7 linked regions of the Coturnix japonica genome follow. The protein of the gene in region 7 interacts with the protein of the main gene of each other region in a biochemical or structural test. Links are inferred from orthologs where the notes say so. Each region holds a gene or a part of one and is shown on either strand. Other genes may lie near its edges.

Evidence for each region.
Region 1: the proteins of PPARG (region 7) and NCOA4 form a complex in vitro, tested with the Homo sapiens proteins (2 studies listed by BioGRID, with this or other methods). The link is inferred for Coturnix japonica from reciprocal best matches to the Homo sapiens genes PPARG and NCOA4.
Region 2: the proteins of PPARG (region 7) and NR0B2 form a complex in vitro, tested with the Homo sapiens proteins (2 studies listed by BioGRID, with this or other methods). The link is inferred for Coturnix japonica from reciprocal best matches to the Homo sapiens genes PPARG and NR0B2.
Region 3: the proteins of PPARG (region 7) and GRIP1 form a complex in vitro, tested with the Homo sapiens proteins (2 studies listed by BioGRID). The link is inferred for Coturnix japonica from reciprocal best matches to the Homo sapiens genes PPARG and GRIP1.
Region 4: of the proteins of PPARG (region 7) and UBE2I, one has a biochemical effect on the other in vitro, tested with the Homo sapiens proteins (2 studies listed by BioGRID). The link is inferred for Coturnix japonica from reciprocal best matches to the Homo sapiens genes PPARG and UBE2I.
Region 5: the proteins of PPARG (region 7) and TRIM24 interact in a test that uses a peptide from one of them, tested with the Homo sapiens proteins (2 studies listed by BioGRID). The link is inferred for Coturnix japonica from reciprocal best matches to the Homo sapiens genes PPARG and TRIM24.
Region 6: of the proteins of PPARG (region 7) and CDK5, one has a biochemical effect on the other in vitro, tested with the Homo sapiens proteins (3 studies listed by BioGRID, with this or other methods). The link is inferred for Coturnix japonica from reciprocal best matches to the Homo sapiens genes PPARG and CDK5.

The regions. Positions count from the first base shown.
Region 1 is NC_029521.1:1,953,843-1,957,820, forward strand, and holds the start of NCOA4 (nuclear receptor coactivator 4), read left to right. Parts: upstream 1-1,178; 5' UTR 1,179-1,240; coding exon 1,241-1,242; intron 1,243-1,965; coding exon 1,966-2,119; intron 2,120-2,580; coding exon 2,581-2,721; intron 2,722-2,828; coding exon 2,829-2,917; intron 2,918-3,354; coding exon 3,355-3,463; intron 3,464-3,954; coding exon 3,955-3,978. Other genes in the region: translation initiation factor IF-2-like, read right to left, coding at 524-957, 998-1,178. UniProt on the Homo sapiens protein: Cargo receptor for the autophagic turnover of the iron-binding ferritin complex, playing a central role in iron homeostasis. Acts as an adapter for delivery of ferritin to lysosomes and autophagic degradation of ferritin, a process named ferritinophagy.
Region 2 is NC_029538.1:1,621,961-1,625,911, reverse strand, and holds NR0B2 (nuclear receptor subfamily 0 group B member 2), read left to right. Parts: upstream 1-1,151; 5' UTR 1,152-1,331; coding exon 1,332-1,857; intron 1,858-2,294; coding exon 2,295-2,575; 3' UTR 2,576-3,553; downstream 3,554-3,951. UniProt on the Homo sapiens protein: Transcriptional regulator that acts as a negative regulator of receptor-dependent signaling pathways. Specifically inhibits transactivation of the nuclear receptor with which it interacts.
Region 3 is NC_029516.1:31,457,797-31,461,953, forward strand, and holds the start of GRIP1 (glutamate receptor-interacting protein 1), read right to left. Parts: upstream 2,801-4,157; 5' UTR 2,418-2,800; coding exon 2,285-2,417; intron 1-2,284. UniProt on the Homo sapiens protein: May play a role as a localized scaffold for the assembly of a multiprotein signaling complex and as mediator of the trafficking of its binding partners at specific subcellular location in neurons.
Region 4 is NC_029529.1:7,286,290-7,289,507, forward strand, and holds the end of UBE2I (SUMO-conjugating enzyme UBC9), read left to right. Parts: intron 1-266; coding exon 267-376; intron 377-583; coding exon 584-663; intron 664-2,057; coding exon 2,058-2,121; 3' UTR 2,122-2,718; downstream 2,719-3,218. UniProt on the Homo sapiens protein: Accepts the ubiquitin-like proteins SUMO1, SUMO2, SUMO3, SUMO4 and SUMO1P1/SUMO5 from the UBLE1A-UBLE1B E1 complex and catalyzes their covalent attachment to other proteins with the help of an E3 ligase such as RANBP2, CBX4 and ZNF451.
Region 5 is NC_029516.1:55,909,481-55,912,980, forward strand, and holds part of TRIM24 (transcription intermediary factor 1-alpha), read left to right. Parts: intron 1-2,016; coding exon 2,017-2,149; intron 2,150-3,137; coding exon 3,138-3,212; intron 3,213-3,500. UniProt on the Homo sapiens protein: Transcriptional coactivator that interacts with numerous nuclear receptors and coactivators and modulates the transcription of target genes.
Region 6 is NC_029517.1:281,036-284,975, forward strand, and holds the start of CDK5 (cyclin-dependent-like kinase 5), read left to right. Parts: upstream 1-1,140; 5' UTR 1,141-1,241; coding exon 1,242-1,278; intron 1,279-1,353; coding exon 1,354-1,442; intron 1,443-1,599; coding exon 1,600-1,667; intron 1,668-2,246; coding exon 2,247-2,307; intron 2,308-2,392; coding exon 2,393-2,449; intron 2,450-3,121; coding exon 3,122-3,217; intron 3,218-3,321; coding exon 3,322-3,396; intron 3,397-3,476; coding exon 3,477-3,573; intron 3,574-3,662; coding exon 3,663-3,732; intron 3,733-3,810; coding exon 3,811-3,871; intron 3,872-3,940. UniProt on the Homo sapiens protein: Proline-directed serine/threonine-protein kinase essential for neuronal cell cycle arrest and differentiation and may be involved in apoptotic cell death in neuronal diseases by triggering abortive cell cycle re-entry. Interacts with D1 and D3-type G1 cyclins.
Region 7 is NC_029527.1:3,220,360-3,224,357, forward strand, and holds the start of PPARG (peroxisome proliferator-activated receptor gamma), read left to right. Parts: upstream 1-1,198; 5' UTR 1,199-1,310; intron 1,311-3,998. UniProt on the Homo sapiens protein: Nuclear receptor that binds peroxisome proliferators such as hypolipidemic drugs and fatty acids.

The sequences.
Region 1 (3,978 bases), on a different chromosome or scaffold from region 7:
GGAGCCTGCTGCTGGCTGCACTGTGGGCATTGTGCCATGACACCTGCAGTGATGGCCCTAACTGCAGGCTGTGCTTTGGCACTGCTGCCTCACATTGACAAGGGCATGGCTGTCCTGTCAGGGCACCCAGCTGGGTCTGCCTCACACGGCAGCATCACTTTCCCTTTTACACAGTGCTGTGCTGCCCAGTATGGGGCAAGCTACGCTGTGGCACACCATTAATAGGAGTCTGGCCTTGTCCAATTGCCTCTTGCACTTGAGATATCTCTCTCAGCCTTCTCTTTGATTGAGACAGGGCAGGTTTAGGTTGGATTAGGTTGGGTTTTGCACCCAGAGGGTGGTGACGCACTGAACATGTTGCCTAAGGAGGCTGTGGATGCCCCATCCCTGCAGGCATTCAAGGCCAGGCTGGATGTGGCTCTGTGCAGCCTGGGCTGCTGGTTGGTGACCCTGCACACAGCAGGGGGTTGGAACCAGATGTTTCCTCACACAGGCAGCACTCCACGCTCCTTAGGGGCGGCCTTTAACAAGCGGCGCTCTGACCCTCGCACCCCCCAACGTTGCAGCCGTTCCTCCGCTCCTCCAGGCGGCGCTCGGGGCGCCCATCTCGCGAGAGCGGCCGTTCGTGTCCCGACAGCGGCGGTGCTGAGCGCGGAGCGGGGCGCGGGCAGCGCACGGTGAGTGCGGGCTGCGGGCCGGGGGTCGGTGCGCTGCGGGGACTGGGGGCTGCGCCGTGCCGGGACTGCGGTTCGGAACGGGATTTCTGTTGTTCATCGAGCTGTATGTTGTTCATTGAGCCCTTCCCCCCCCCAACAGCGGCTCCTCCGGCTCCCACGCCCTCGCTGTGCGCCCCGTGTGAGGACGGGGCGGAGCGGGGCCTGGCCGCCTCGATAAGACGCGGAGCTGCCCGGCCCAGCCCCGGGGAGCGCCTCGGTACCTGCTGCCCCTCGGTACCTGCTGCCCCTCGGTACCTGCTGCTGCTGCTGCCCCTCGGTACCTGCTGCTGCCCCCCGGTCCGCCCGCTGAGGTATTTCGGGGCCGCTGTGAGGCAGGGACGGGCGTCCTGAGCGGCTGCGTTGTTGACTGAAGGGGCTGAGGAAAAGGAAACGAGCGATCCGGCTCGTTCCGTAACGCTGCGTGCATTTGGCTGTTGATTCCTGACGAGGCAGAACAGCCATTTTGCGAGAGCCGGAGGGCGGCGTTTGCTGCTCTTTGTGGAGGGCACGGCGGTGTGGTTCTTATGTAAGGAATACGGTCTGTGATCTATTCGTATTGCTTTGTATATGTGGCAGCTTTGGGTATAGCCGTGTCACTGCCTTTTTGCTTGGTTTTCTCTGACTTTCATACTAACGTTTCCAGATGGCTTCTGAGAGGTTGCACTCCTGCAGGCTGTATATCAGGGAGTTGAGTTTGAGTCCTGGTTATAACCTAACCCAGGGCTTGAGGGTGGTTGATTTTAAGGCAAAAAAGGGAGAATCTAAAGGATGTTCTAAGGAGTACGTTAGCAAGGTGAAGGGTGTGAAACCTTGTAGAGCAGCAGCTGTGAATGAGCCAGGCTGTGTCAGTACAAGGATAGAATTGCAGCCTTGCCAGGCTGGTCTTGCCTTCCCCATCAGCTCTGCAGAGCCTTGCCCAGATCAGCTCCCAGCTGCTGCAGTTTGCTGGCTAGACAGAAATGCAGGGGCACGTGAGCAGCAGGGAGGATTGCCTCAGCTCCTGCGGTTGAGCCTGTTGGCAAATATCTGTTGGTTTTCCTGTGGTTGCATAAATTCCTTGTGCCAAAGCACCCCGGAGTCTGCTGTTGCTCTCAGAGAAAGCTTCAGCTCTGCTCACAGAACTCAGTCGCTGTGGGGTCTCAGGCTTTGTTGTTGCATTTAATAGTGAAGCAACATCGATGGCTCTTCCCTTCCTCTTTCCTTAAGGAAGAACGGAAGCTTCTAAGTGTTTTTTTTCCTTGTGCTTTAGGAACACGCTGAGAATGAGTCTGCCACAAGACAGAAATAGAAGTTCTTGCAGCAGCGAGACGCTGGCAAAGTGCCTTCAGGCGAGGAAGGACTTGGAAACAGCTATCTCTGGAATTGTCAAAGCCGAGCAGCAGATTAAAGAGAACTGGCGAGAGGTAATTCTTCATTCGTTAACGATGCATTAATAACTAGTCTGACTTCACTGGCAGTTTAAATAATTCCAGAGTACTTTCTGTTGGGAGGGTGATCTGAAGGTTTCCAATAGATGGGCAAGTCTCTTGGCCTGTAATTTAGGCATGCTTTAGGTGAGGTTGTTTTGTACTTCTAGCCCAGGCATGTGGCATTTTCTAAAGCTTCTGGCTGAAGCATCTGAGTAAAGGGATGTTGTGAATAACGTTGTTATTTGATCATCTTTAGAGGCAGCTTGGAAACTTGCACTGACTTGTGAGTCATGTGGCGTTGTGGGTTACTGTGGTTTAGAGCTTGAGGAATAAATTGGTACAAAAATACCACTTGTGCCTGAGAAATAGAGTTTTGTAACCTGCCCAGCATGTGCTTGTTGGTACCATCTGACAGATATAACAGCAATGAATAATGCTATAATGCTGCCTTGCAGGTTAAAGCCAAGATTCACAGCCATATCAGCCGCCAGCTGGAATGCCTGCGCAGCCGTGAGGTGTGGCTGTTTGAGCAGGTAGATCTCATCCAGCAGCTGAAGGAGGAGGCGCTGCAGCAGCAAGCTCAGCAGCTCTACTGGGTAAGAGGTGGTTGCACTGGGATTTTAAAATGAACTGCATCTTTGTAGTTATCTTGGTTTTAACTTGAGAAGCCCAAACAATAATGAGTGTTTTGTCTTCCACACAGTTCTTGGGACAGTTCAATTGCCTTATTCATCAGCTGGAACACTCCTACAACAACGAACTAGCGAACCAGATTTCAGTTTGCCTGGAGAGGTAAATATTGATTACAATGCGAGCTAATACAGTCGGTAATTTATTTTGACTTAGAAATTTAACCCTATTTGTGATTCTAGAAGAACTAATAATTAACCTGAATCACCATTTCTGTGTTTTAATAGTTCATAGTTGAGAGTCTTTAAGCACTTTGAAGTATGATTCCTCTCATCTGCACCTTAGATTGGTAAAAAACAAAGCAAGACCATAGAAAGGAGTAGGTGTGCTCATTTGTGCACATCACTTCAGATTTTCATTTGAAGTAAGAAGGAAGAAGTTGTGCTTTGCTGGTTTCTTTGCTTTAGGTTGTGAATTTACATCTCCTTGTTTTTGTACAAGCAGTAAAAATGTTTTGTTTTTGTTAATCAGTGCCAAGGCAGCTGTACAGGTGTAGAAGTTAAAAACATAAGGCTGTAACTCTCATCTTGCTCCTTCAGACTGGAAAGTCTCACTCTTAAACCAGAGGAGTCTTCTGTCCTGAATTTTGAGGCTGACACATCGTACCTTCGCCAGGCCATTACCTCATTTGGTTCAATTAAAACAATGGTAAGCACAGAGGCTTTACTGGGTTGTAGTACTTAAAGTCTTAAATACTTAAATAACTTTTGTGGACAGGTCCCATAGTTCTACTCATTCAATATTTAGACAGTAGTTTATTAATTACTGCTCTGATTTTGGCTGAGCTTAGTTCTAGTTACATATTATGTTACTTTGGTTGTGTTCATACTCTTTTCCAGCAAAAACTAATGTTGATTGTGAGAATCTAAAGGAAATCTTACATTGTGGGAAGGTATCTCTGCTGTAGAATTATTTTGGGGTTCTTATGTAAGCAGCGTATCTCGTGTATTATTGGAGATCACTCTCTTAAAGGCAGTGGAATGGAACTAGTCTTTTTGTAGCAAGTCTTTATTGTGTTCTGAATAATGAAAATCATTGGCTGTTAAGAGTGGATCAGTTGTGACTGCACTTTGCTTCTGAGTCTTAGAAACTGAAAACAATGGAGATTTAACCTGAACTGTACTTCTCTCTTTTTCTAGCAAACCTCAGAGAGAGAGATAACT
Region 2 (3,951 bases), on a different chromosome or scaffold from region 7:
CCCATTTGTGCACCAAGAGCTGCGTGCCCTTAAATCACAGAATCAATCACAGAATGACCCGGGTTGGAAGGGACCTCAAGGATCATGTAGCTCCAACCCCCTGCCTGGCAGGGCCATAAAACATACACATTTACTAGATCAGGTTGCCCAGGAGACCCCATAGATCCCCATAGAGACCCCATAGACCCCATAGACCCCATAGAGACCCCATAGACCCCATAGATTCCCATAGAGACCCCATAGACCCCATAGACCCCATAGAGACCCCATAGAGACCCCATAGATCAGGTTGCCCAGGGCCCCGTCCAACCTGGCCTTGAACACCTCCAAGGACGGGGCATCCACAACCTCCCTGTGCAGCCTGTTCCAGGGCCTAACCACTCTCCTAGTGAAGAACTTCCCCCTAACATCCAACCTAAATCTTCCCTCTTTTAACTTAAAACCATTTCCCCGTGTCCTGCCAAATCACTTGTTCCCATCCTCACAGGGTTCACCAGGCACCCCCTGTGTGAGGAATTCCTCACAGGCCCCACTGGAATCCATAATTGTGTGCTGTCATTTAACTAATGCTGATCAAAACATACAAATTCCAGAGCAATTCAAGGTAAAAACCTATAAACCTGCCTCTCACCTACCCAGCATTACTCCTTCAGCACAATGGGCTGCTGCCTTTAGGTTTAGTCTTTCAGTTCACCACCTTCCTTAACTGCAACAACACCGATCTCCTGTCAACAAGGTTAGGCAAACAGCTGCTGATAAAATGACTTCCAGGTTGCTCTTTCCAAGGCCATTTGCCATGGGGTCCTCGCTTCAGACGAACACCCTGTGTGTGTATGTGTGTGTGTGTATGTGTGTGTGTGTGTGAACTCCTTGGCAGCGACAGCTGCCAGATAGCACAACCTGATTGCAGCGTGGGGCCTTGGTGCCATGGTACAGCCCGGGTTAATGACTTTGTTTATACTGTTTGGGTAATTGTGATAAGGCTGCCCAACCCGCTGCCCCTGCTGGGGTTTCATTGAGAAAACGGCCATTGACGCCATGCTGAGATCCTGCTGGTTCCAGCCAATCAGTCTGGGGACAGCTGGGGTTGGTGGCTTTTTTTTTTTGTTGTTTTTTTTCTTCTTTAATGAGGACCGCTTAATCACGGAGCGGTCAAGGCTGGGAAGGGGTGTTCCACTTGTGACCGAGCCTTATAAGAGCTTGTTTGAACAGCCATGTGCTGGCAGAGCTGGGAGGACAGGTCACTCCCAGATTGAGACGGGGAGGAAACTTACAGGTCTCTCCCATCTGCGGAGTTTCACAGAGGATCCGGGGCTCCCAGTTCTGCTCTGATGACCAGCAGCATAGACATGGACTGCGAGAGGTGTCAGTGCCAGCATGAAGACAAACACCCAGCCATTCTCTACACCCTCCTCAGCCAGAACCTGAGCCACAGCCCACCTCACCAACGCTGCCTGTGCCACCAGCGCTGGACGGTCTGCCTCCGGACACCCCATATCACCTGCCAAGCTGCATCCGACGTGTTGGTGAAAACCATCAGCTTCATGAAAAACCTCCCTTCCTTCCACCTGCTGCCTCGAGGGGACCAGCTCCTGCTGCTGGACAGCTGCTGGGTCCCCCTCTTCCTCCTGGGGCTGGTCCAGGAGACGGTGACATTTGAGGTGATGGAGACCCCAGCCCCCAGCATGCTTGAGAAGATCCTCCTCGATGGCCAAAGCAAAAGGCAGGAGCCTGAGTGGACTCAGCCCATGCTGGCCGCTGTGCAGTGGCTGCAGTGCAGCCTCAACACCTTCTGGAGCCTGGACTTGAGCCCCAAAGAATACGCCTACCTGAAGGGAGCCATTCTCTTTAATCCTGGTGAGTGTTCAACCCTCCCAGCTCTGCCTGCTGGTGGCAAGAGAAAGCCCTGCATGAGTTAGCATTTAAAAACACTGCTCTTGGCTTGGAGTCGCTCAGAGTTTGGGCAAAAGTGTGTGTGAGAGCAGGGAGAGCTGCTCACATCATTAGCACCAGCAATGCAGTTTACCTCTGGGAAGCAGGGAGGAGGGATACTGAAAATGTAGTGTTTAAAAGCAGAGACCTCCTTACCTTGCAATCAAAGAACCCTGGGTCTTACTCTACAAAGCCCATGTTTGCTTCATTAGCTGTATTTACTCCCTCAAAGCAACAGCCCTGAAATACATGTTGTTAATGGCTCTGAGGTTTTTCTCCAAGATACGGGGAGAGAGATGGGAGAAACCTCGAGCTGTTTTCCAGCCTTCCTCTTCACATCCTTCCCTCCTTTCTCTTGGCAGATGTCCCAGGGCTGACAGCCTCCCTGTACATCGAGAGCCTCCAGCGGGAAGCCGAGCGAGCGCTTCAGGAAGTTGTGCAGATCCTACACCCCAAGGACCAGGACCGCTTTACCCTCATTTTACTCATCACCTCCACCTTGAAATCCATCCCTCCTGCCCTCATCACAGACCTCTTCTTCCGACCCATCATTGGCAACGCAGACATTGTCGAGCTCATCGTGGATATGCTGTATGAAATCACCAGCTGGCAGCCGGCTCCTTCACCACGCGTGGCTCTGTGAGCTGCTGTGCTCTGCCACAGCCCTGGGGGTGCTCAACAACACCTGGCAGGGCAGCAGGGAGGACTGTGGAGCAGGCAGTCAGGCACTCAGCTCCACAGGGCTTTGCGTGTGCCTCTCTCTAGGCTGTAGGGCTCAGAGCATAAAGGAAAGCAGCCTTGATTCAGCATGGCTGCTCCACCTCTGCCAGTCTGTTTTGAGGAATGTGAGTGTGTGTGGCTGGTGGTACTGAGTTTCTAGCAAGCAGGCCAGCCCTGTGACACAGAGCAGACTGAGTTAGAGCCTGCTCCAGGCTTTTTATATCTCAGTGAATCCTCAGTTCAATTAAAATCAATGTGTGTTTTGTTAACTCCATGAGATGAGGTTGGACCTCAACTTGCTGCCCGTGATGGCTCTGTGCTGATAGTGGTATTTAGGGGTGCTGAGTATCTTCGGTGGTATCACTTGTAGAGTACAACCAGGTGCAAGCCGTAAGGAATTAGATCTTTAAGTATCAGCCAGTGTCTGCTGTGCATGAAATCTCACAGACAGCCACCAAGAATCCTCCTCAGACAGCAGGAGGGAGAAGCATCAGATCTTACAGGGCGTGCAGCCAGCTTCATGAACGCCTCCTGCCTCTCATCACATCGCATCTCCTCCCCACGATGCCATGAGCTGCAACAGGATTGCTCACAGATTGGATTACCTAAGAGCAGTGAAACGTACGGCAAATAACGCTGCATGAACACCACTTCATCCTCCCTATACACCTCAATATATATATGGCAATACTTGGAATGGCTCAGGAACACACTGAGCTACAGACACTGAACAAACATCCCTGCCTTGAGTTCCAGCTGGTTCAACATAGTAGGAAAGCTCGCTTCTCCTGCCTGCAGCTTTTGTCACTGATGTCAGTATTTAATGAGCGGACCTTCATTTGATTTGTACATAAGATGCAGTAAATTATTTTTTTAATAAAAACGTGTCACATTTTGGTGATTTTTTGTTATATTTCTGGCATTTTGGACTTGTAGAAATAGCTGTTGGAGGTACAGTGTGGGAAGGACACCTGAATGCAGGGATGGAGCATCATAGGGAATCATAGGGGAGCATTGCAATGCAGCCCCATGAGCTGTGCTGGGCACACACTGCTCTGTGCACTGAAACCTGCAGAGGCAGCACAACTGCAGCCTGTCTGTGCTGCACCTTCCTTCACGCACACAGCCACACCTGGAGGTGCTGATGCAGGAGGTTGGTGCTGACTCACCTGGATGTGCACACACAGCCCTCAGCCCACAGGAGAACAGCCATACAAAGCCTCCTGGCTCCCCACCACCATAAACACACCGTGTTTGAACAGCAGCCTGCTGGGAGAACTGTGTGCTGCCCATCCGTGC
Region 3 (4,157 bases), on a different chromosome or scaffold from region 7:
CTATTCTAATGCACTTCCTCAGTTTTTTTATGAATTCCATCTCCCTGCAGTACCCTAAGCAGTACTATGTATGGGGGGAAGAGAGAACAGCAAGCCTAGAGAGCGATTGGCTCAGACAATCTCCAAAGGCACTCACTAATTGGTTACGTAGCTCATAAAAGGAGACCCTTTGGGAAGGATGAGTGACAAAGCAAGGAGAGGGAACAAAACCTGAACAAGCTCCTACTCTGTTCGGTTGAATGAACAACAGGTCTTTGATTTCATTAGCTCTGATATTTGGAGAATCATACCAATAAGTGCAACCTTATTCTCAAGCACGCATCCCTCAAGCATACAAGTGCAGAAGGAATGACTATTAAAAGCTCTGCAATTACTCTAAACTTGCACTGTAAACAGGATAATACCAGATCATAATTACATTCAAGATAAACACTTCATTGTCTCCATTACATGAAATCCAGTTTCACAAGAGCGTTCACAGTAGCACCAGCAGCATCCTTCTTACATGTACACACAGCAGATGCCACACCTACCCAACCAAAGCAGCACACGGAAAGAGCGGACAAAAGAAGCCCTGGAGGAGGAGGGGTTGTGTTTGCTATACTGCCTGCACAGGCTCCCTAATGAACACAGCTTGAACCTCCCACGACACGCTCTGTGTTAGTAAGTGTGAGAAGTTGCAACTCCTCGTGCACCCAACTCTATAGGACCGCGCACTGTGTTGCTTGCTCAGTGCGAGGGTTATGACCACCAGTAAAAACAACACTTCAAAAGCAGACATGCACTCACCCAGACTAAAATATTTCCAACCCCCAGGGGCTGAGGGGTGTTACATCCTTTTATTTTCTAAGGAGAATAAAATGAAAAACCTATTAGACATTTGGCTCGCTCTTAGTTCCTTGCATTAAGTCAAGAGTAATAATTTATTAATCAACACACAACAAATCCTTATGACATGTGACAGTGTTGGGAGGGGTTTTGCTTTCTTATTTAAAAGACCTTCAGCACTAACAATCAGTTAGGGGAAATACTTTGACAGCCTGCTTTGACACATTCCTTTTATTTGCATATTAAAGCAAAAAGTTATGTGCTTTCATTGACCTGCATTATTTTCACATTTTTCAGTGCTAAGTACGTTTTTTAGTCCTTGTGTATTATATGCCAACGTGATAGACAGCTGCTATGATTGTAGTGCCCCTGAAAATAGGTCTTTCTCATAAAAACTCAGTCCTAACAACATAAGGGTTTATCAGCAGGATACATGTGCTTTGAAATGGAAAAAAGATAAAGAATGTATAAGGGAGAACTGCAGTAAAAAGAAAAAAAAATCAATCACTCTGTATTAGTTTACTTTTGCAGATGGGCAATTGTGGTGCATTTAAAGCTGAGAGGAAAACCTCTAGCTTCAATGTTTTCCAGAGAATAGAGCACTCTGTTGCTGCTGAGTAAAGCCATGTTCACTATTTTGTCTGAAAACAAATGGATGGTTCTTATTTCAGACTAAATGGAAATGAAGCTGGATGGCATGAAAAGGATGTGACAACTGCCCCAGCAAAAATAAATAAAAAGGATGAAAAAGCACATCAAACTCCAGCTGCTCAAAAATAGCTTCGCTGCAGAGCTCCCAAACTGCTGGTCGGAACAACAGAAAGCTTTTACAAGGATCACCAAAGCCCGCCAGGTGCTGAGCACAAACCCAGTGGATACACATTTTGCAAAGGGACATCAGAACTTACTTGGGTTTGGGGTGAGCTGCTGCAGCCACGTGACCACCACCACCACACAACCCCACGGGTGCTCCCCAACAAAGGAGCCCACGGAGAGACTTTCTGCAGGCTCAGAGGGCTGACTCTCGCTCAGCAGCATGCATTAATCACCAACTTGAACCCACCAATGAGAGATTGCTGCCTCTACGCTGCTTTAAAAACACCCACAGTACAAAGGCATCCTACAAGGGTGACCACCAGCCGATCCATTCTCAAAACAAAGTGTTTCACAGCGGCTCTCCAGCGCTCAGACTCAATTAACTGCACCTGAAATATTAACCAGGCTGACGGACCCTGCTCACTTTGGGAGCTTTGTGCCACTTCAGCTGTTTCACACAGGTCATCAGCAGCCACAGACAGACAAATCTATAGCTGGAAGCTTTCATACTCGCACAGGGCTCAGGTTCTATAAAGTGAGGGACGCTGTTTGGCCTTTAGGGTGGTTTTGTTTTTAAAGAATCTTACAAATGTAACATTTATCACAACTAAAGGAAAGCGAGGTTACGCGAAACACTTACTTCGAAAATGTTCAGAAGCGTAATAATAGACATCCTCATAGCCCTCGTGGTAATCCTCCTCCGGGCGGTACTTTTTGCCTTTTCTTCTCCTTGACCTCCGTATCTGCTTGACGAAGCCCAGGAAGCGCTCCATGGCCTCAGCGCCCACCAGCAGCCCCCCACCTCACACAGAGCTGCCCGGGCACGGGGCAGCAGCCAGCACCGCAGGAACGCTGTGACCTTCCACCATCTGGTACCATTAAAAACCCTGATCTCAGCTAGGGCTGCAAAGCATATTGTTTCCCCCTCCTTAAAAAAAAAAAAAACAACAAGAAGGTGAGGGGTGGACTTTTATAAAATCTACAGACTGGAATATCTCAACATAAAAATAGATAAAGGGAAGAAACACTGATGGGAGGGGAGAACTGAGGGTTGCGAGCAGTTGTTGAACAGAGGAAAGTTGGAGTGCGCTGCCTGCCAGGCAGAGGAGCCGGCACCGGGAGCTCGCTGCCCTCTGTCTCCATCATTTGAAGCGGGGCTGGGAGGCGGGGAGAGATGCGAGTCGGCGGACTGAACCATATCCACAAGCGAGGCAGGTTTCCCTCTGTCAGTTAAATCTGTCCTCGCATTTACGCAGGCACGGGCTGAGGGCTCTGTTTGATTTCATTTTGTTCTACGGACAAGAAATGCATGGCTCCGTTCCTGGCATCGCACGCACCGGGAGAACAACCAGCAGAGTGGTTTAACCCATACACACAGCCCACTCAGCGGCAAGCGTGTGCCCAGTGTGTTAATTGGAGCAGCAGGGAGAAGGCTTAGCAGCTGTTAAAAAATGACACATATACCCACTGGGCATTGGTGCACTCTAATCATTGCTAGATCTAACCATTAAAATGCGCTTCACAGATGGGTTTCTGATAGAGCTGGCCAGGCTACATGGCAATAGGCAAACAAAGGAAGCCACACCACGCGCACACCACGCCATGCTCATTTAAAATCCTAGCAGAGTTTTAAAACTTTAAAGTGAAGATGCAGCAAACTGTGCTGGGCACTGGAAGAGATCAGCAAACAGCTCAGAAAGGCACTCACTCTGTCCTCTTGCTGCATGCCCAATTCCTCAGCATTTCCTCAGATAAGGCACGAATTTCACAATGAAGTTTATCTCCCATTCAAAATCAAAAGCAGTGTTTGCTCAAATCCCATTTCCTTGACATCTACCACAGATGGTAGATGCTCCCACGTGTGGTCCTCCAGTCCCACCAGACACCTCCTGGCTGCAGGCACCAGGCTGGATCCATCAGTCACCATCCATCAGTCAAGCCATCACCACTTGTGCTTGTACTTACAGGAGGTGCTGCCTGGCATCTATGAGCATGGGGACATCAGGCAGCCCTTCCATGGAACCAGTGTTACAGATCTTGGGCCCCCAGCACTAGAAAGACATAGAGCTGTTAAAGAAGGTCCAGAGCAGGGCTACAAGGAAGATCTGAGGGCTGGAGCCTATGAAGAAAGGCTGTGGGAACTGGACTTATTCAGCATGGAGAAAAGAAAGCTATGGGGACACCTTATTATTGCCTTCAAGTACCTCAGGAAGCTTACAAACAGGAGAGAGACTTAGAACACACGAAAGTTCCCAGCAGTCCAGAAATGAATGCGCACTGAAGGCAGGCACAGGGCATCTTTAGGGCATCCTCCAATTACCAAGCATTTTAAAACAATAGAGTCACAAAAATATATGTTTTCACCAGAAAAGCTGACAAAACCATGAAGGTGCCTACCAAGGTTCCCATGGGAGCCTGTGCTAACGCTCCCTGACCTCACCACCCCTGTTTTTTGCCCTGTGAAAATGCCACTACTGTCACCAGCCAATAAATACCTTGAGGTCTGGAATTAT
Region 4 (3,218 bases), on a different chromosome or scaffold from region 7:
GCTGTGGAATTGCCTGGGGTGGTAACACAGACATGGCAGGTTTCCTGCTTTTGGTACAGGCCACAAGCCAAAGTGCAGCTCTTTAACAATAGCTGTGGAAATCTCCTGTTTGGTGAGTGGGGGAAGTTGGATGGGGGACAGATGTGCAGAGAATTTGTGTGTATGTGTGTCTCTGGCTGGTTTGTTTGTCCTACACTGATGTTCTAAACAATCTGTTACATATTAGCCTTGGCTTCGCATGCCAGTAACTCTTTTTTTTCCCTCAGGTAAATTTGAACCACCATTATTCCACCCAAACGTGTATCCTTCAGGCACAGTGTGTCTCTCCATCTTAGAGGAGGATAAGGACTGGAGGCCAGCAATCACAATTAAACAGGTCATTAGTTGTACCTATGCATATAATTATGCTTCTTTCTCGCTTTGCCAGTGTGTCTTACATGAATGTAAAATGCTCATTACATGTTTCTACGGTTGGGATTTTTGGTGTGAATGTAGTGATTTATTTTTTTTTTCCTTTTGTTGCATGTTTCTTCATCACTTAGTAATATCCGTGCTTCTGTTGCTTCTGTACCTTCATCCACAGATCTTGTTAGGAATACAAGAACTTCTAAATGAACCAAATATTCAAGATCCAGCTCAAGCAGAGGCGTACACAATTTACTGGTAAGTGTGTGGATCACCATGAGAGCTGCATGTTGCCTACAGCTGTCTGTTGTCGATGGTACATGCAAATGTTTGGGGGAAGGATCAAGGGAGCTTTTCTGCCTTCATGGCTATGTCCTGTTGAGATGCCCAGCTTATGCTGAACTCAAGCTAAGTAATACCTCCAGCATTTATAGGCTAATGGAACTTTTAACAGTGTGACAACAGAAAACATGAAGATGCGTTCAGTTGGACCATGATTCTCATCTTGGTCTCAGACCAGTACAGATTCCAAAGCATAATGATTTCATAAGAACAGTGAAAGTGAGAAGGAAGAGAGTGGATTAGTTGACAAGTTCCATTGGTAAATACAGGGGTAATTTAGTTCTGTCCAGCAATGTGCACCTATAAGTGCTTGTGCCTGAAGGTTGAAGAGCTGTGGTTGTTAGAAGGATTTTATGAGCTTTGAAAACTGGTGTTCAAAACTGTTTTTAAGTGTATAGGAGGCCTGGAGCTTTAGGGGAGTTAAAATTCAAACCAAAAACCCCACCGTTTTTTAGGCTCAATCTTAAAATATTCCTATCATTAAAAATAGATTACTGACCCATAATTCTTAAGGAAGCAGTACACTCTGTAAACAAATGCTTTTGGCACTGACAGCTACTGAAATAACGACTGAAACAGAAATGCAAAATTAGACTGAAGAACAAGTCTTCAGGAGAGTCCCAAGGTAGAAAAATAGCTTGTATGCAGAGTCTCATAAAAAGTCATGTCAGAAATGTCATACAGGACCACAGAGAGAAGGAATCATAGGGATGGATGGTGTGTATCCTATTTATAGACCTTACTCAAGGGTATTCTTTAAGTATCTCTGAAGACTGGATGAGTGTGTTCAAATGGAGGATGGTTGTAGGCAGTGCCTTAGGGAGCGAGGAATGACAAGGCAGACCCACCTTCTTTTCTCCTCTTGGATAAGAAAAAAAATAGTCTATGGAAATATGGAGCAGGAATAGAATAATTCTCTGAAAGCGTACATAGCCCATGACCCATTTTATACTTCCCCTCATGTGTTTATGCAAAAACCATCTCTGCTGGTCTTGTTCCTGCATAACTGCAGAGGCTGTGAAGGCAGGTTGTTAATTTGTACCTCAGTGACTGGTTGGTACTAATTGATACTGACTCACGGATCTTGGACTTGTTCTCATTTTTGGGGTTGCCTTTGTACTGTTTTTCTGCAGTACTTCAGGTGTGCTGTGTACCTCCTCCTCTCCTGTAGTTGTGCAGTTTGCTATGGAAGGTGTTCCTTTATTCGGGTGCTCTGAGTTGGGAGAATTAACAGCTAGAAACAGGAGGGAATTTTGCAATTCGGCCTTATTTCTCAAGCTTTAATTGCCCTTTCTTGTTCTTCTATTCAGCCAAAACAGAGTGGAATATGAAAAGAGGGTTCGAGCACAAGCCAAGAAGTTTGCACCATCATAAGCATCTGTCATGCAGCATCTTAAAAAGGAAGGGATTGGTTTGGCAAGAACTTGTTTACAAAACTTTTGCAAAATCTAATGTTGCTATGTACAATTAATATCCACTTAGGGGAGGGGGTTGTATGTGTGCCATTTTCCATATTCGCCACTTGTATACAGTTCTAAATTTGCTGAATTGCCCCCAGTTTTTTCATACAGGGTCTCTTCCTTCAGTCTTTTGTATTTTTGATTGTTATGTAAAACTTGCTTTTATTTTAATATTGATGTCAGTATTTCAACTGCTGTAAAATTATAAACTTTTATACTTCTATAAATTCACTAGTATCTCTAGTTACTTTGCTATCTGATGCAGGCATGCTTTAAAATGTTAGAACTATATTTAGCCTTTAGCTGGCTGTATGGAAAAATAAAAATCATGCCCTCCACCCCCTTCCCTCCCTGAATTTGTTTTTCTATCTTTCAGAAACTAGGTTGTTATTGCTTAAGAGCCTCTGAGATCCAAAGTCAGCCAGCATCCTTATTCTGCATCACTTCCTTTGTGTTTATATGGCATTGTCTGTGTTGCTGTTTAGAGTAAATAAACTGTTTATATAAAGGGCTTTGTTTCATCCTCTTCATTAAAAGGCCGCTGTTTAAGCAGCTCTGAACACAACTCGGTTAAAAGTTGTGATGCTTTACTTCTCAGCTGCTGCCTCCTTTATTTTCCCTGTCCCTGATGTAGAGGTGGTCTGTCTCTGTGCTGATTACTGGCAGCTATTCTATAGTTGACCAGTTCCTTAAGCACCTTATAGAGTTGTATGACTAACTAGGGATCAATTGCTTATTGTATATTACAGACTGGTCTGATCACTGGAATATGGAATGATACAAGCATGAATGAACAATAATAGAAATGCTCTGAAGATGAGGGGGCCTACAGGATCTGGGCATTATATGTACTAAGTAACATTATGGGTTGTCTTCCTATCCAGTGCTGTTGAAGGGTTTGTGGAGAGGTTTATTTGAAATTTGAAACCAATTGGGTGCTTGAAACTTGAGAGTATCTACTTAAAAGGTAAAGGAAGAAGAATACAATTAGTAACAGCTCCTCAGGGGCTC
Region 5 (3,500 bases), on a different chromosome or scaffold from region 7:
AGCTTATTAGTATTAAAGGACAGAACATCTGTCATAACATGCTCATTGTTTAATGCTTTTATGTAAATATTGGGTTTTCTTCTTAAATATTAGCACAATGTGCTGGGATAAGACATTTGGATAACAAGTTAGATTTATATGCTGATCATCTCTGGTTATGTGCTACTCTAAACGAGCATATTTCTGCAAGCATATCTTTTCAATGTCTCTAAAACTGGCACATAAAGATGTTTATTTTACCTTGTGAAACTTCAAATTATAGGGTTTTTTCTTTAAATAAAATGATGTTATATTGCTTTGTGCCGTAAACAAAACTCGGCAAAGTCACAGTATGAACTTAAGCTAATAACATTTGTGCCTCTCTGAAAGGTAGAAGAAAATCTGTAAGGATATAGGTAGATAACTATATATACACAAGACTTGGCTTCTATTAAAATAAAAGCTTCAGAAATAAATCTTTATAAGTTTTCATTTTCACTGGATTGTTCAATGGAAACTGGGATGATGATGTCCAGGGCACAATGGAGCCAAAAACAACTTTTCTGAGAAGCATTCAGTTTTGTAAAGGTGCATATTAATACAAGTGCACTATGTTCCTGGACTTCAGAACCATAGTTAGCTTAAATTTCCTCCTGGCTTCAGATGTATCACGTTTTTGTTCTCATCTTCATGGTTTTTGTTTTTTGGGTTTGTTTTTTTTTTTTTGCTGCTGCTGCAATGGGCTTGTTCACAAACGTTGGTCTCTAAGCATTAGTTCCTTCGAGCACACACAAAAGAATCCTTTATTATTACGTCAGTGGTCTCAATGACTTCTTTTGTGATTGCTTTTTGTTATTACTTCAGGTAGATAGAACACTTTCTCCTGTAGACTCACAAAGTCACTTCATCTTATCTTTCCTTCACTGTAGCCCATTATACTTTCCCTTACTCTTAGATATTTGAATGTGCCTTTCCTCCATCTTCTGCCTTTCCTGTACTGTGAGATCTTTAGGTCATGACTTTTATCTATTTTTGTCTGTCCGTGCAGAGATGTCAGTATCATGTAAATAGCTCGTTAAGCTGAACTGTTTGAAAGTATTCTTTTTGAGAGGAGACACCCATTATTCATTACCATATGTTAAAACTAGCAGAGGATGGAAATCTTTGAATTACACTAAGTGAGAACCAGTAAGACAGGCTTGGTTTTTTTAAACTTTGCAAGTCTTCGGTTTTACTATCAAAATGCACTGAAAGCTGCTGCAGAATCTTTCATTTGCTAAGATCTTATTATAAGATATCTCTGAGTAAATGCATGCAGTTGGTTCTCATAAGCAGTTACTGCTGAATTATGTCTACAGTGTGAAGTACAACTCAGCCCTCTTGTGGTTATATGTAGGGGTGCAAGTTCACCAGACGTCTTTACTGTTTATTCATAGCTTTTCCAAAACTTACAGAGGTTCACAAATTGAATGAGAGTTGTTGAATGTAGTCAGCTTCCAGAACTAGTTCGGTCTTCTGCTTCTTCAACAGCACAAAAAGTCTTGTCCAGAGTTATCTGTATAGAGCAGGAGTATCTTGCAATCAAGCTTATAAAGAGAAAATACAGTTTCTCCTATATAACTTCAGTACTTTTCCTTCTCCTGGACCAATGTCTGCAAATGAATCCTTCATTCTCTCTGTAGTTAGGAAGCAGACCTCTTAATAATGTTTCGATTGAATTCTGTGAGGTCAAGTGAAAAGTTATAACACAAACAAAAGTAGTCACTGTCAGTCTGTTATGACAAGCCATTTTCCTACTATGACACCACTAATAATACCAATGCCATTAAAAGAAAAGAAAGTTCTAAGGAAGCATTTTTGCCAGCACTGCCTGTCTCTGCTTTTTGTAGTTCTAAGTAGGAAATAAACAAAAGCAACAAAACAAGGCACAATGCAGAAAAAATACCATCCCATACACAAAAAACTTCTCCAGAAGTACATAGAAAGTCAAGAATGTGTTTCTTCACCGTGGTTAATGCATCTGTCTGTCTTGTTTAGTGGAGAGTGGATTTGTACATTCTGTCGGGATTTGTCCAAGCCAGAAGTTGAATATGATTGTGATAAACCAACTCACAACCCTGAAAAAAGAAAACTGGAAGATACTGTGGGCTTGGCACCAATAGACCGTAGGGTAAGGATGAGTCCTGTTGTTTCTTTTACTGAGAAATGTATGCATTAAAAAAGAAAAGGAAAGAAAAAAAAAAAAGGATAGTAAAATGGAGAAATAACTATTTCAGTAGGCTCTGAGATCTTAACAGCCTTCATGTAAACAAGCTGAGCAACACATTCTGAAAGTCTGAGAAGTGGTTGTTTTTTCCTGCTCTGAACGGGGACTGTATTCTAGGAATTGCCAAGCACTGTTTCTAACATTGACCTCATACACAATGACCTTTTTCTTCCTTTGTACTTTCCAGATTCAGTATAGATTGACTTTATTTACTACACTTGGGGGCACAGTCTACATGTAGGGCCATTATTTGTATTTGACGCATTGTAAAAGGGAATAACTAACTGTGTTTGTATTTGGCTTTAAATATAAATTATAATTCCTGTAAATATTCCAGTGGAGGATCATCAAGAATAGAATCAGAAAAACTATTTTCTGAATCTCTTTCAAGGTTCAAGATTCCATTTAATATGCTCAGGTACACACAGAACAGAGATTTCTCCCCACCACTAACAAAAAGCACAGTGGGCTATACACCAATTAGGAAAGCTATTACTGATTTCTCTGAATGTTTATAATAAACTAACAGCCACATATGCTGCTATACAGCACATTTTTATTTTTTATATACCACACATTTTTATCCCACATAATGTTTGTTGGACTTGGCAAACGCTAAACAACACTATTAGTAACTATATGAGGTTTGTAACATGTATTTGAGTGTTAATAAAAATATAGTGTATCAACTGCAGAGAATGTATGCTGTAGACCATTAGTTATGGTAAGCTTGTTTCCAAATACAGTTTCTGTGCTCAGTTTTCTGCTGAGAAATTGGAGGAGTACTGAGAAAGTACTGAACATCTGCTTGATGTTTTATATAGATCATTATTTTAGAATAGATTGTGTAGTTTTTTATTTGTGTATTATCTATCTTTTTTTCTTGACACAGAAGTGTGAAAGATTGCTGCTATACCTCTATTGTCATGAAATGAGTCTTGCTTTTCAAGATCCAGTTCCACCTACAGTATGTACTTCACTTCTTTCCATTTTCTATTAATCAGTAGCATAATTGGCATGGTCCTAATGGCATTGTTATGCTCATTATCAGAAGTCAAGTTTTGTGGACATCGAGTGTATTGAATGTATTTAATTTTATTAAAACTGTCTGAAGGGCAATTGAACAGTTCTGGCACAGGCTGACCAGAGAAGCTGTGGATGCCCCATCTGTGGAGTTGTTCAAGGCCAGGTTCGATGTGGCCCTGGGCAGCTTAAACTGGTGCCTGGTTTAGGGGTTGGTAACTGCCCACAGCAG
Region 6 (3,940 bases), on a different chromosome or scaffold from region 7:
ATCGGTGCCAGGAGGCTGGGAGCGGCCGAGAGCCCCACAGCTGCCCCACAGCTGCCCCACATCTGCCCGCCAGGCGCAGGCACGGAGCTCATCCATCCTCCATCCCTCCATCCCTCCATCCCTCCATCCCTCCTCCCCCCCCGTTCAGCCGCGGTTCCGCTCGGTCCCGGTGCCGCCGCCGCCCCGTCCCGTGTCCGTAACCGCGGTTCGGGGGGCGGGGCCGCCCCCGGTTTCATCCCGGCGGGTTCGAGCCGCAACTTCGGAACCCGCGGCCCAAACTCCCGGTGCCGCCCCGCCGTGACCCCGGAGCCGTCGGGGGCAGGAAATGAATCACGGAGCCGCGCTGCGCCACCGCGGGACCGAGCGGCCCCACGGGGACACGGGAGCGGCCCCACGGGAGCGGCCCCTGGGCCCGGCCCCACTCACCCCATGGCCCCGTTCCGTCCGGCGCTTCCACCGCCGCGTCCCGCCGCTCCGTCCGTGCCCGTTCGCCCCGGGGCCGTTATAGCGGCGCTCTCGGGCTCGGGGCGGCGGATCGTGGCGCGGCGCTTTGTTCCATCCCCGCGGCGCTGCAGCCCCGGGGCTGCTCCCGGCCACTCCTACGGGCGGGGGGGGGCGGCGGGGGGGGTCCGGGCGGCAGCGGGGCGGGTTGCGGGGCACGGCCCGGTCCGGGCGGGGCGGCCGGTGTCGGTAGCGGTGCCGTGTCCGCAGCGCCGCCCCCGGCCCCACCCGCCGCTGTAACGGGGCCGGGCACCGAGCGGGAACGTGGGATCAGGGCGGGGGGGCGCCCCCGGTGCCCGCAAAGCGCGGAAGCGCTGCCCGGTACCCGCTGCCCGGTGCCGCCCCGCCGTGCGCTGTGCGCCGTGTTGTGCCCGCGGAGCGGCGGCACCGACCGAGCGGCTCTTACCGGGACTCCGGGCGGAGCGGGCGGGCCGGGAGCCGGAAGCGCAGCCGGGAGCGGACACCGAACCCGGAACCGCACCCGGAACCGCCCGGCGGCGGCGGGGATCGAACCCGCGGCACAAGGAGCGGGGGGCGGGGACAAAAGGGGCGGGGCTAAAGGGGGCGGGGCCGCTCGGCGGCGTGGCGGAAGAGCCGGTACTTCCGGGAGGCGGGACGGAAGTGGAGGGGCTGCCGGGAGGGGCGGCGGAAGGGGCGGGGATACGAGGGCGGGGGCGGGGCCGGCACCGGGACCGGAGCGGAACCGAACGGGACGGAACCGAAGGGGACCGAACGGGACCATGCAGAAATACGAGAAACTGGAGAAGATCGGGGAAGGTGCGACGGGACCGGACCGGGGCGGGGCGGGGCGGGTCCGGTGTGGGGCCGCTGGGCTGAGCCGTCCGTCCGTAGGTACGTACGGAACCGTGTTCAAGGCCAAGAACCGGGAGACGCACGAGATCGTGGCGCTGAAGCGGGTGCGGCTGGACGATGACGACGAGGTGAGGGCCGGGATCGGCACCGGGATCAGCGACGGGCCGGGTCGGGTCGGTTCAGTTCGGTTCGGTTCGGCTCGGTCCGGTTGTGCCCGGTCCGGTTGTGCCCGGTGCACACGGGGCTGCTCGGGGCCGGTCCGAGCCGTGCGGTGCCGCCGTGCAGGGGGTGCCCAGCTCTGCACTGCGGGAGATCTGCCTGCTCAAGGAGCTCAAGCACAAGAACATCGTCAGGTGAGTCCGGTGTGTGATATGGGCTGTGTGTGCTATGTGCTGTGTGTGCTCTATGTGCTCTATGTGCTCTATGTGCTGTGTGTGCTCCTATGTGGCTCTAGGTGTGCCTCTATTGTTGCTCTATGTGCTGTTGTGGCTCTATGTGCTCTGTGCTGCTCTATGTTGCTCTGTGCTGCTCTATGTTGCTCTGTGTGCTCTAAATGTTTGCCTCTAATGTGCTGTGTGTGCTTCTATGTGCGTCTATGTGCTCTATGTTGCTCTATGTGCTCTATCGTGCTCTATTGTGCTCTATGTGCTCTATGTGCTCTATGTGCTGTGTGTGCTCTATGTGCTCTATGTGCTGTATGGGCTCTATGTGCTATGTGCTCTATGTGCTCTATGTGCTCTATGTGCTCTATGTGCTGTATGTGCTCTATGTGCTCTATGTGCTCTATGTGCTGTGTGTGCTCTATGTGCTCTATGTGCTCTATGTGCTCTATGTGCTCTGTGTGCTCTATGTGCTCTATGTGCTCTATGTGCTCTATGTGCTGCTGTTGGTGCTCCCCGCCCGGTACCGACCCTTTGGTGCCGCCCCCCCAGGCTGCACGACGTGCTGCACAGCGACAAGAAGCTGACTCTGGTCTTTGAGTTCTGCGACCAGGTGAGCGCGGATCCGGCCCTAATGACACCCCCCCCCCATAAACCCAACCCCGTCCGTGCCCTGATGGCAGCACCGCCCCCTGCAGGACCTCAAGAAATACTTCGACAGCTGCAACGGGGATCTGGACCCTGAGATCGTGAAGGTGTGTGTGTGTGTGTGTGTGTGTGTGTGTGTGTGTGTGTGTGGCCACATCCCTCTCTGCTCTGCCCTCTGAGGCCCCATCTGCAGTGCTGCGTCCAGAGCTGGGGCCCCCAATACAGGAAAGACAGGGAGCTGTTGGAGAGGGTCCAGAGGAGGCCACAAAGATGCTCAGAGGCTGCAGCACCTCCACGACAAAGACAGGCTGAGGGAGCTGGGCTTGTTCAGCATGGAGAAGAGAAGGGAAGGCTGCGGGGTGAGCTCAGTGCAGCCTGACAGTGTTTAAAGGGGATTAGAAACAGGAGGGGAATCGACCTTTCACAAGGGAAGGCAGTGACAGGACAAGGGGAAATGGATTTAAGCTGAAGGAGGGCGGATTGAGGGTGGATGTCAGGGGGAAGTTGTGTACTGTGAGAGTGGGGAGGTGCTGGAACAGCTGCCCAGAGGCTGTGGATGCCCCGTCCATCCCTGGAGGTGTTGAAGGCCAGGTTGGATGGGGCCCTGGGCAGCCTGGGCTGGTATCAATGTGGAGGTTGGTGGCCCTGCCTGTGGGGGGGGGTTGGAGCTTTGTGATCCTTGGGGTCCCTTCCAGCCTGTTCTGTGTTGCTGTGCTGCTGTCGCTGTGGCTGGTGCTGGCAGTGGTGCTGTGCTGACTGTGGGCTGTGCTCTCCCACAGTCCTTCATGTACCAGCTGCTGAAGGGCCTCGCGTTCTGCCACAGCCGCAACGTCCTGCACAGGGACCTGAAGCCGCAGAACCTGCTCATTAACAGGGTGAGTGCTGGGCTGGGGGCAGGGGCACCATGTTACCCCCCCCCTGTGCCCCTTGGGGTCCGCTGGGTGCTCCCTCAGCCCCTGACCCCTTTCTCTCTCTGCAGAACGGGGAGCTGAAGCTGGCAGACTTTGGCCTGGCACGGGCCTTTGGCATCCCGGTGCGCTGCTACTCAGCAGAGGTGAGGAGGGGGCTGCTGGGATGCACATGGGGGTCCCGGCATTGCCCGCTCCTCCCGAGCATCCCCTGTGCCCCACGCAGGTTGTCACGCTGTGGTACCGACCCCCGGACGTGCTGTTTGGTGCCAAGCTCTACTCCACCTCCATCGACATGTGGTCGGCTGGATGCATCTTTGCAGGTAGCTGTGGGGCCGGGGGGGCTGTGGGACGCCTGGGGCGGCCATCGGGGCTCACCCCATCGGGGCTCACCCCATCCATCCCTGTGCAGAGCTGGCCAACGCGGGGCGGCCGCTCTTCCCAGGGAACGACGTGGACGACCAGCTGAAGAGGATCTTCCGATATCCTTTGGGTGCTGTTGGTGTGGGGGGGTGAGGGCAGAGTCCCGCAGCTCCCCGTGGCCCTTGACAGCCCCGCACGCTGCTGGGCACCCCCACGGAGGAGCAGTGGCCGGCCATGGCCAAGCTGCCCGACTACAAGGTGAGGGGTTGGGGGGCACGGTGGGGCGGGGGGGGGCGGCGTGGGGCCCGTTGCTCACAGCTGCCCCCA
Region 7 (3,998 bases):
CAGCCCCTGGCTTCCAGTTCTGAGTCAGTGCACTACCGAATAGGTATTACTGCAGTATGTTAAATAAAAACCCAGAAGAAAACAAAGTATTTCCACTTTTCCAAACCTAAAACTTACAGACAGTAGGAAATGCATACACTGAAAATAATCCCCTGATGTGCCAAGGCAGAAGTAAGACTTCAAGCCCATACAAATAGATAATTCTCATAAGATTTAACACAAGGCTTCCAGTCTCTGCAGAGATTGTTCTCATAAACAAAACGCCGCAGGCAGTTTTTATCTGTGAGGAGACCAGGTAATTTGATGTATTCAACTCTAATCTATAAATTGCCTTCAGTATACAAATGGAGACTTTCAAAACGCTGGATGACTAAGAACCGTGAGGCAAATTTGGGATCTTCTAAATCTCCTAATGATGACCAAGTGATCAGGAGTTCTTAAAGATAAACTGCTGCGTGCTGGGGCACCTGGGCTTACAGTGACTCTCTAAAAGCTGTTGATCTTATGACTGACTTACAGCATCGAACTTTTTAATAAAAGAATCTCGGGATGAAATAGGAGGTGACATGCTTGTTTGAACTTGCTCTGTCTTGAGACTTACCGAGCACAGCCTATACCACTGCTTAGTGCATTCCTGGGAGGGAAAGGGGATAAAAAAAACGAAAAAAAAAAGAAGTAGGGGTGAAAAAGAATTTCATTTACCTCCGTCACCGCTAAGAATCTGTTCAGAAAAGCATTTACTTCTGTCACAGCGGGACACAAACTGACGTGAGGTGAGCGACTACACGGCGCAGAGAGGAGCTGGAGAAGGGGAATGCAAAAGAGAAAGCAGTCAGCAGTCAGTCAGCAGCCGGAAAGAACTGAGTTCTCAGCTACAGGAGATTGCAGAGAGCAGAGATCAAATTCCAGATCCACTGCAGGGCCCGCGCTCTGTCCTCACACGAGGTGCCCGCGTGTGATCGCGCTTAACGGGCACGGACGAGAGGGAACCGGCTCGGGGTGAACGGAGCGGGTCTAAAGGGGAAAGGAAGGAGAAGCGGCGGCTCCTCCTCACTGACCCGTTCTCTGTCCGCTCGCCCCGTTCAGTTACTTCAGTCCCGGCTCCCGCCCCCAACCCGCTCCCGCCAACGGCCGCTGTAGCGCGAGCCCCGACCCGCGCGGCGCCCGCAGCCCCGGGCACAGCTCGCCCCAAGGCGGCGGGAGGCGGCGCCCGGCCGGGAGGCGGTGCCTGGCCGGTAGGATGGGCCGGCACCGGGAGTTTATCCCACCAGAAGGGAACAGTTTCTCCGGCTGAGACTTGACAGCGCCAGGTCAGTGCGGGCGACCGGGGGATCTTCCCCCCCGCGGTGAGGGGACGGCGGAGCATTGAGGGGGACTGGCGGTGTGGGGGCTCCTGAGGGAAGCGGGGCGGCTGAGGAGCCGCTGTCGGGGTGAGGGAGCTGCGCCCGGCGTGGGCAGGGGGCTCGGCACCGGGCCTGGGCACGAGGCCACGCCGGCGGGATGCTGAGAGTGGCGGGGAGGGAAGGTGGCTCTGAGGGAGCGGGAGGCGGGGAGGGGGATTCTCCTGGACGAGCGGTGGGGCTGAGGGAGAGCGGGACACGGCCCGGGTCGGGGGTGGAGGAGAGCAGCCGGGACACAGCGCCGTGGGGCCGCGTGGGCGGGCGGACGGGATGGGGTTGTATTGTAGTGGACGAGGAGGAGAAGCGAGGGGGCGGGAGGACCCCGCGGGACGGCTCCAGGTGCGCTGCCGGTGCTCGGGGGCGTCGTGCCCGGCGGTGAGCGGCGGCTGCGGCCTGTGGGAGGAGGGAGAGAGAAGGGGGGAGGTAGGGGTAAGTTTGGGGGCGGCTGGAGTTAAGGGGAAGGGTCTCCTCCCCGCGGAGCTGCTGCGGTCTGGGCGCATCCCACGGGGTGACGGGCAGAGCGCCGGGTCTCATGTGGCACCGCGTTACAAGGGAAAGGAGCCGGGAGCTCGCTGGTGGTGCTCACCTGGTCCATGAGCTTAATGAATGAAAAGAGGTTTGGGTTGTTTTTTTTTTTTCTTTTTCCTTTTTTGTTTGATTTCTCAACCGCAGCGAGTCAGGGAGCCCTTATGAGCCTGCAACAAGTGAGATGCCGTGTTGAAATATGCAGTGTCTTGATGGTATGCCTCAGGTTTGCAGGGGCGTTTTGTAATCTTCCTGGTGTCATTTCTCTCCAGGGTATTCTACAACTGGAGAGTGCAAGTTCCTGTGGTGTTGTAACTTCACGGCAGTGTGTACACACGAGCATACAATGCTGACTTAACAGTGATGTATTTATTAATAATCAGTGACGTAAGGCTTGTATTCACTCTGAAGAGCTCAGGAAATGCTCAGTTTCTCCCTTTGCTGTAGGTGCCTTTAAATTGGAGGGATGGATTACAGTTATCCTGGCTATAACTGGGGCTGTGGGCTGGCATTCCATCTGCAACCTGCTCCCCCATCTCTGAACAGGCTTTTACCATGGAACATGATTGCAGTGTTCCATTAAAACACGAGTATCTAAAGCAAAAATATGTGTATTTCTGGTAGCAATTAATCAGTAATTTAGCTTTTAATACGTGACTATAATTTGTTACTAGTTAACTAAAAAATTCTAGTGTACATCAGCTGTGTATGTCGTGGCACTCAGTGCTGTCCTTGGGAAAGGAGTTTCGTATGTTTTGCTTGCGTTAATAGCAGGGTTTATTGCGTGAAATAGTGTTTGACATCATTATTCTCTGTGGCTGTTACAAAAAATAGCTGCAAAAATGCTCAGAGATTTAATTAAAAGTCTGTAAGAAATCTCAGTGTGTTAAGGCACGTGATGCAATGTTAGCATGAACTTGACAGGAGGGAGAGAGAACTGGAAAAATAATTGGCATGGACTTTGATAACCAATGATATAAATACATATAATTTCAAGGGATTTTTACATAGCGTTTGGGTATTCTTGGACATCAGTTTTGTAGGATATACCATTAACTCTTAGTAGTTCAGCGGCCATTTGTCTGTAAATTGCTTATTTTAGCAATGTCTGTGTCAGAGTCCTGGATATCACAATGTATTGAACAGTATTGCTCAGTGAAACTTCAATTACTATGTGATTATTAAACAGATAATGATCATTCTCCTCTGATTTAAATAGTTTGTATAAGGAAATATCTCAAAAAGTAGGTGGCAGGATATTAGAGTTCAGTTGAATATAGGAGCAATGCCTTTCAGCTTTTCATATGATATCAATTAGAAACCCGCTACTGATGCTGTTTCTGACTCTTCGGTGAATTTTTGGAGGTACCTGTGTCCATTTAGAAATCAATACAATGTAGGTCAACCTTCAATTATTATCAGTATATAATTTTCTACTTCTAACAATGACTAATAGGAACCAATTTTGCAGGAAGTTATATTGTAGGAATAGGGGAAAGTTTACAAGTAGAAAGAAAAATCTGTATTATACTAGACTGGAATACGTAATTGAAAGTATACTCTGGGATTTTGTTTTCCATCTTCCATTTCTGGAGCCTCCTTTTTCACTTAGTACCATCCTGAACAGTTCATGTATTTACTAGCCATGGTTTGGAGCCTAATAGTGCATCACTAGATATTTGCATTTGATATTCAGAACTTGAGCTTCTTTCACTCGCTTTTATCGCAGGAGTTTTTCAAGTACTGTCCTCTGCCATACAGTAAAACAGTTTCCAGAGCAGTTACTCAAAAGAAATTAAAATGCAATTATTAATTCTCCACGCTGGGTTCTCTTGAAGTCAGGGATACAATACTCTCCACTGGTAGTTGTTACTGGTTTCATCTTATTAGTCACTGGTAGACGTGTTTAATAACAGACTCTGTCCCAACTTAGCATGATATTAGAGGATTCCTAATTACTCTCAACTGTATTACCATAACCATAATTATTTTTTTTTATTTTAGGGGTCTGTTTTTCAGGCCCTTTATACAGATGTTCTCTGTGTGTCAATTAACTGTTTGTCAACTGTAAAA